2 linked regions of the Tribolium castaneum genome follow. Each later gene encodes a partner of the first gene's protein in a complex. Links are inferred from orthologs where the notes say so. Each region holds a gene or a part of one and is shown in the gene's direction. Other genes may lie near its edges.

The links.
Region 2: the proteins of GAA1 (region 1) and PIG-U are in contact, whole or in part, in a cryo-EM structure (PDB 8IMX), measured with the Homo sapiens proteins. The link is inferred for Tribolium castaneum from reciprocal best matches to the Homo sapiens genes GPAA1 and PIGU. Residues at the interface, in NP_003792.1 of Homo sapiens: Gln245, Leu310, Arg311, Arg313, Phe358, Leu359, Ile371, Ala389, Leu390, Trp393, His397, Leu500, Ile504, Leu508, Cys512, Leu515, Thr516; in NP_536724.1 of Homo sapiens: Tyr349, Ile355, Phe356, Cys360, Ile363, Val364, Leu367, Leu368, Val371, Leu372, Leu375, Ile377, Tyr378, Ala379, Gly380, Ser381, Phe386.

Annotation. Positions count from the first base shown.
Region 1 is NC_087396.1:13,608,861-13,613,446, reverse strand, and holds GAA1 (glycosylphosphatidylinositol anchor attachment 1 protein), read left to right. Parts: upstream 1-1,639; 5' UTR 1,640-1,795; coding exon 1,796-2,155; intron 2,156-2,205; coding exon 2,206-2,365; intron 2,366-2,752; coding exon 2,753-3,147; intron 3,148-3,194; coding exon 3,195-3,408; intron 3,409-3,572; coding exon 3,573-4,453; 3' UTR 4,454-4,488; downstream 4,489-4,586. Other genes in the region: zinc finger protein PLAG1, read left to right, coding at 1-503. UniProt on the Homo sapiens protein: Component of the glycosylphosphatidylinositol-anchor (GPI-anchor) transamidase (GPI-T) complex that catalyzes the formation of the linkage between a proprotein and a GPI-anchor and participates in GPI anchored protein biosynthesis. Binds GPI-anchor.
Region 2 is NC_087396.1:9,929,047-9,932,551, forward strand, and holds PIG-U (phosphatidylinositol glycan anchor biosynthesis class U protein), read left to right. Parts: upstream 1-1,282; 5' UTR 1,283-1,454; coding exon 1,455-2,783; 3' UTR 2,784-2,829; downstream 2,830-3,505. UniProt on the Homo sapiens protein: Component of the glycosylphosphatidylinositol-anchor (GPI-anchor) transamidase (GPI-T) complex that catalyzes the formation of the linkage between a proprotein and a GPI-anchor and participates in GPI anchored protein biosynthesis.

The DNA of each region.
Region 1 (4,586 bases):
GACACATTAAAAAGTCACATTCGAAAAACGTACCGCCGGAAGACTTCGAAACTGCCATTAAAAGTGAGATTCCAGAAACGATCGTCAAGCCAGAATTAGTGATTAAAACCGACCCGGAGATCAAATCCGAATTTTTCGAAAGCAGTCTTTCAAATCCCGAACAAATTGATCTATCGTTTGAAGATGTGAGTAGCATATTGCAAGAGGAGACTTTCGATCCGTTGACGCGGTTTTTGGAGCCGGACACGGAGGGGAATTTAACGTTTCTGCCCTCGCCGGAGTCACAGGAAGAACTAAAAGACTTGGGAAGCACGATTTTGGAGGAAATTGGGGAACCTTCGATGATAGGAGAGAGTTTAACTGACCCTGACGAGGAAATACTAGGTCAAAGTGTTTTAAATAATCCTGAATTACAAAGACTGCTAGAACCGTCGGAAGATAAAAATTTACCTCTGCCCGGGTTTAGTCAAACTTTTCAACCTCCTCCTCCACCTCCTCCGTAATATCTTTCTACAAGATATGCATACCATAATTGTGTTCGTAAAATAGGTGGCACACAGCTAAATTATCATTGTATGGTATGTTAAGTTACCAACTGAAATTATAACCTTTTTCGATTGGCAATATTTTCACCAATTCCAAAAAAGTTACCAGGATACGTAACCAGATTCAAACATGTATTGTTCTAGTCTTGCTAAAATTGTTCTCGTCTTCTTTATTCATTTAGGCAGCTCATTAACGTGTGAATATTGCCAAAAATTAATAACGTTATTGAGATTTTACAAAAATATTGTTTATGTTGCTAAATTATTTTACGTTTGTTTCGACAATTGCACAGCTGTTTGACTTTTACTCAAAATTATGTTACAATAGAGTTTCACATAATCGGTTGAGAAGAAAAGGAGTACTTACGTGGAACGGGATAATTGAATTGTATGCTACGTGCAATTGTTATAACGATATTAGGCATAATTTGATCTGAGAAACACTTAATATGTTGTGTTGTAAATTTATATTTATTTGTTAAATTGTTTCCAAAGTTATTTACCACTGGTGCTAAAATCCATCTGAAAACAATTGACAATTATTGTATATTATTGTTATGCTATGAGAATTATTAGATATTTTCTATTGTTAAATTTTACCAATCAAGCATATCTGTAAAAAGTACTTTCACCACTTAACACGATCAAGTACAAAATTGGAAATTTCATTGACTCGTGGCTAAATTAAATTTAATTTATTATGAAACAGGTGTGATATCCAACGTAGCCAAAAGTCAATGACACACTAATTCTTTCAGTTTACATTTTCCGATACTAATGAAATAATCTACCTCATTTTGCAACAATTCATTGCTGTACAATCAGCTAGTCATAGTTGTAAGTCTATCTGTATGATGTTAAAACATAGTTTTTTATACATACTGTATATTATAAAAAGTAATATATTTTACCAATGTATATAATTATTCATATGAGTCTATTTTAAAATATGTACATTTTATTTTTATACATGAAATTATAGTATTATTTATATATTCACATCCGAGTTTATTTTAAAATTACCCCTTTATCTTGGCCACTTCGTTTGTGGCTTCAAAGGCGGGCAGTTTTAAACCGCTGGTGTTTTTTTAGACAGTTGCGTTGGTAGCAACCAAACGTCAAGTTATCTACTCTAAGGTTATGTTAATGTAAACAAAAATTATCTAAACGGCTCCTGTAATGTAATTAGTGGCTAATTTTGACTGTGAAGTTTCAATTCCAGCTCTTTTTTGGATAAAGTTTAAGTCACGATGGGTTTGCTAACAGATCCCAGTGCCGGTCAGGGAAAACTAACCAAAGCCCTTCTTAAATATTACACAAAACTATGTGTCTTGCTATACATAGGCGGAATCGGTTGGTTCTGTTCCCTTGCGTACACCCCCATGAACGCAGGGACGTATTTTTCCGAAAACGCCCTTTTGCCAGGACTCGTCAAATCAGAGTTTCGGGAAGACGCAATCGCAAAAACTTACCACAGCGAGCTTTTGGACGAAATGAAGAAATACGAAGACTCCATTCCGTATCCCTGGCTTTTAGCCAAAATGAAGCAAATTGGATTAGATACCTACACTCACAACTTTACACTGAATTATCCGCTGGGAAAACCCCAAGTAATTACTTCTAACAAAACTTGGCGGTTGAATATTTAATGTTTTTTTAGAAATTTGTTGGTAAAAACGTTTATGGTATTTTACGAGCGGCACGGGCTTCCAGCACTGAAGCTTTAGTCTTAAGTGTGCCATATAGACCCCCTTTGAGCGTCCACGCCACCACCGCACCTTCCATTGCCATAATGTTGGCATTTGCCAAGTTTGCCAATAGTATGTCGATTTATTGTTCAGGGTGCGGGGAAAAACGCAAAAGTTATGAGGGGGTGGTTTTTTAAATTAATATCGGAAAAATCTCTAATGGGTACCCATGTTTTAAATTTTTATAAAATTATTAAAATTAAATCAACGAGCATTGCAATGATGACTATTAAGACACGAGTTAGATTTAGATTAATTTTACTCTGTCGTACTATTTTTTATTTATTTTTTTTTGGTTTAGAAAATCTACATGTAGTACATGTAGTATCATGAATAAATTAATGTGTGGGAGTCCTTAGTCTAGGAATTCCTACGGCATCGCTCCTTCAAATTTTTGGCGTTTTTTTCTAGACACTTGTGTACTTGTGTATGCATTTGTCCTTCAGGATATTCTTCTAGGAGAGAAATATTGGGCCAAGGATATTATATTTTTAATTACTGAACACGAGCAGTTAGGAATGCAAGCTTGGCTGGAAGCCTACCATGGAGTAGCCTGTGGCAATGACGGTACTTTAGACCATGGTGACATTAAGGGACGTGCAGGTGCCATACAAGCCGCTATTAATTTAGAATTGCACGAAACGGCAATTAGCCAAGTGGATATCAAAATTGAAGGTTTAAATGGTCAACTGCCCAACTTGGATTTGTTTAACTTAGCCGCTAAAATGCTGCTCAAAGAGGGAGTACCGCATACTTTTAAAAACAGGCCCAACAAACACTTGAAAGATCCCGTAAACGACTGGTTTTACTCATTCCAGACTTTATTAGCCATGATTTCAACTCAGGCTACCGGGGTACACATCACTTATTGTGTGAGAAAATTTTAAGTAAAAAATTTTAGATACCAAATGGAAATCATGGCCTTTATCACCGTTTTGGCATAGAAGCCCTGACTCTTGAAAGCACCCCCTTAAAAGGGGGCAATAAAGCCGGATTCCCAATTGTGGGCCGCATTATTGAAGGGATATTCCGTAGCTTGAATAACCTTTTAGAGCGTTTCCATCAAAGCTTTTTCTTCTACTTGTTACCTTCATCAGAGAGATTTATTTCAATTGGTAAATAACTTTTTTTGCACAATTTTTTTTATACAAAGTGGTCAAAAGTAATTGTTTGTGTTGGCAGTAGTTATTTTTAGTTGGCCCTAGTGTAAACGTGATATCACATTGAATTTTGATCACTTTGTACAAAAATAAGGGGTCTAATAAACATCTGAACTTAGGGCTATACATGCCTGCTATCTGTTTGATTGCGGGGGCTCTCTTCATCAAAGCATGCGCCAATTGGTGCCAACTTCAGGAGAACCAAGCGGAGACGGAAGACGAGAAGACAAAAACCCCCGAGACGAAAAAACAAGTCAAGAGCAGCGTGAAACCGCGCGATTCGAAAAATTATTGGAAAGAAATGGAAACGCGATTCCAGACCGAAATTCAAACTCACAACCCTCCAGATCCCGATTCCGTTAACTTTATTTCAATCCTTTGCGTATTTCTAATGTCTCATGTTCTGGGGGTATTGATTATGAACAGCCCTCAGCTATTAACGACGCTAGGTGGCCAATATAATTACTCAACCGATGCGTCTTTGTTTTACGGGTTTATAGCCATATCTGTGGTGTTGCTAACAATGCCGCTTTTTATCCCCTTCAAAGCTTGCGAGAAGAGTATGTCGGTGTTAAATATTTTATCGCTTTTGGAATTAGGCACAACTTTAATTTGCGTTTCCATGAATAATTTTTCTCTGGCATTATTTTGCGCCATTATTTATGTACCGTTGGCTCTAATTATCGGGATTACGCGGTGTAGGCTATGCTCTGCCATCAAAAAAATTGTGTGGTTGCTGGCACATCCTCTAGTCGTGCTTACCGCTACCGTGTTAGTATACACATTTTTCATGTTCCCCGGTGAAAAATTCGAAGATAATTTTCATAGGGGCGTAGCGGCGACTCAACAGGCAATCGTTTTCAGTATAGTGGATTCTATGATTTATGGAAATTGGCTCTTTAGCGTCGTTACTAGTGTTTTTATTTCCAACTGGTTGTGTTTCTGGATCGTTGCGTTTGCGAAAGTGCCGCAGGACATTCCAAAGAAGAAAATCGATTAAATGTACTTTTTTTTAATAAAGTGTTGGATTTTTAATCACTTGTTTGAGATTATACACTCCATTAAACCTTTCAACCGTTTTATTAAGTTCTGGGTGGAAAATTGGGAAGCAAACTTTATAAAAGGTTGAACCT
Region 2 (3,505 bases), about 3.7 Mb from region 1:
TTGTTTATTTTACTCACCTATTTATTAATAAAAAATAACAATATTATAATAACCAAAAATTTAATTAAAATATGCTTATTTGGCGTAGAATTCTTTAAAGATCCCAAATCTCTTCTTATTTTTGTTGTAAGGAACGTGGTTTTAGGATACGATTAGATGAAATACTACCAATTTAAATTTTTCCATTCTACTAAAAAAAAATAGAAATTAATCTAAAACAACTTGTAACACATTTTACTAGAAAACTATTTAATTTTAGGTAAAAATTTGTGGCAATTAAGCGAAGTGGTACAAATAATTCGAATAAAACAAAAATTTGCCTCTACAGCGTGCTCAAAAACTGGCGCACCAACTCAATGGTGTGTGATAGAGAACTGGTTACATATAAAGGTAAAAATAGTAAAAAAATTCTTTGTATTAAAGTTATTGATAAATAACGGATTTTAGATAAATGATATGTGGCAACGTTGTCTAACAGTCATAATCGCAATAGAATTTGAGCAACAATAAAAATAAATTATTTTTGAAACGGTTTCCTAGGAAATAATTCCCAGTGTTGGCACATCTACACATTGTGATTTTTTGGATAAATTTTAATTTTTTTAAATTAAAAAAACTGCTAAAATCTAATAGTAAATTTAAAAATAATTATTCATCGTTTTGTTACGGAACGATTACCTGGTATGAAACATAAAACATAAAAAAATAATGAAAACTAAAGAAGTTAACACAATAAGTTTGTAGCTCCAGATTTTTTAAAATATAACTTTAGGAATTTTTTCAATATTTTTCCCGTAATCTGCACTTGCTTATCAATAACGTACCACTGAGTTGGTGCGCCAGTTTTTGAGCACCTGTATACTAATTTATCTACTAATCAAAAAATTAATCACGATCACAAAAACCAAAAATTGATGTCAAAAGTAAACCTGTTTGGCATAAAATTGTCTGAGCATTCAAAATCCGTCTTCGCTGTTTAATGATTCCTAGTTTTTCAAATTTTCCAATCCTACCAAAAAAAAGCAGTCAACCTTAAACGACTAGTAGCACTTTTTCCTGCTTAATTAATTATTTTTGAGCAAAATTTCGTGCAAATCGAGTCAAAATTTTGCAAACAATCTGAATTTTGAACGGCCAGAAGAAAAGCATTGAAACTTGGAGACAAGTCGCGCGTATTCATGATTGACTAATTTATAGGCGGACAAAACCACGTTTTTTGTACAGTAACCATTAATTTATCAAACATTGTTTTGTTTTATTCAAACTGTAATAAAAATGTGCCAATGTAATTCCATTTACTTTTAGCACAAATTAGTTCATGTTTGTATTGCTCGTTGCTTTAGCCACAATGTCACTCCTGTTCCTGTCACGATACTAACCTCACTTTATTCAATTATTTAGTGGGCCGGTAATCGCCAATATTTCCGAAAACTGCCCCTGAAAAGTGTAAAATAATGGCACATGGGAAAACCGAAAAATGTGAGCAAGACTGCTACAAAGGCGGAACCGTTTTATTCATGTACTTGACGGGGCTTGGTATCCGGTATTGGCTCATGTTTTCGAGATATCAGTCCATAATTGCGAACCACATCGAAATATCTACACCTCTGAACTCCTGGAAGCGAGTGTCCGAAGGGCTTTGTCTCCAGTCCAAAGGTATCAATCCATACGAAGGGGACTTACTTCATGAAGCTCCGATAACAATATTATTTTATAAAGTGTTGACACAGTGGTGGAAGTTGGACATTAAGACTATTTTTCTCGCCTTTGATGCGGGAACGGCCGTGGTATTGTATTTCGTCGCGAAGAAATACATGTTTCACTTATTTATTGAACAAGAAGAGAATAAAAAACAATATGCTCTGAACAGTAAGGAGTTCCTGTTATCGGGCTCTGATTTCGTCAATTCGCCCGTTTTTGTCGCATCGGCGTTTCTGTTTAATCCATACACGATTTTTAACTGCGTTGGACAGTCAACTGTCGTGTTCCATAATTTTTTCATCGCTTTGTTTTTGTTCTGTATGTTAAGCGGTAGCGTTATTTTGAGTGTACTGTCTCTGGCAATATGCACAATGATGTCTTTCTACCCCATTGTGTTAATTATCCCACTGTTTTTGTACTCTAACGGAATTTACAAAAGCAAATTTCGGGCGATTCTCACCCCGATTTTGTTTATCGCCACACTTGCGGCTTTTATAACCATTTCGATTGGTTTAAGCAACGGAACCGCATTTATGAAAAACGTGTACGGTTTCATTCTAACAGTTCCAGACTTGCAGCCAAATATTGGCTTGTTTTGGTATTTTTTCACCGAAATGTTCGACCACTTTCGCGACTTGTTCATCAGCTCGTTTCAAATAAACGCAACCGTTTTGTATTTAATTCCACTGTCGGTCAAATTTCGCAAAGACCCGTTTTTGCTAACGTTCGCGATTTTGTGTCTGATTTCTGTTTTTAAGTCGTATCCGTGTCTGGGCGATGTTGGGTTCGTGTTGAGTCTTTTGCCCTGTTTCATACACTTGTTCAATTACTCCCAGCAGGGATTTTTAGTTGGGGTGATTTTTCTTATTACGACAGCTTTGGGTCCGATTTTGTGGCATTTGTGGATTTATTCAAACTCCGCAAATGCGAACTTTTATTTCGGAGTCACTTTGGCCTTTGCCATTGCACAGATTTTTCTTGTGACTGATATTTTGTTCGCGTATTTGAAGCGCGAGTTTTGTTTGAATCATGGCAAGGAGAGGAAGATTGATGGAAAGGACGCCTTGCTGATTTTAGAGTGATTTGTGATCTAGATGTTAACCACAATAAATAAGACTTTTGTACAAATATTGTTTTATTTATTTATTATATAATTATAGACTTGTTTGATGATTCGACTAACATTTTGAACTGGTTTTCTAATCCACTTTCCCTTATTAGTGGATTAAACTTGATCATAATTTTGACCATCTGAAATTAAAGTAGTTATAAATATTGTAATAAAAAGTACAATTCATTACATTTTTAATAATATTAATGTATTTCCTGTCAAAATTTAAAAGCACCAGTAAAAGGTAGGTCATCTTTGACCATTCTTGGGTTAAAACACATTTTCTTACAAGTCTTAAGATCTGTGTTGGTGAGTCCCAGAAGAGGTCAAATGCTGAACTTTGACGTTCTATACAATCTTGAGCCTCTTTTCTCGTAATAAGTGTGTTATTTTCTAAACAATGAATAAGCAAAAGAAGTTCTTTTACACACACTTCCGGACATTTTGTGTCACTGTTTCCTTCTCTCCACTTTTTGGCCTTTTTTTTACTGATTTTTCCTTCTTTGCTCACGTTTCTTGTTTGTTTACTCGCAAATCGTTTATTCTTTTTCGTGACCACTTCTAAATTTCTTTTCTGGAGTTTTTCAAATATTTCCACATTTTCTCCGTATTCTTCCTGGTCGACTGATTCTTTCCAAATCTTTTTTCTTTCCTCATCAAGGAGAATTTTTTTTAAATCAAATTTCGTCATTT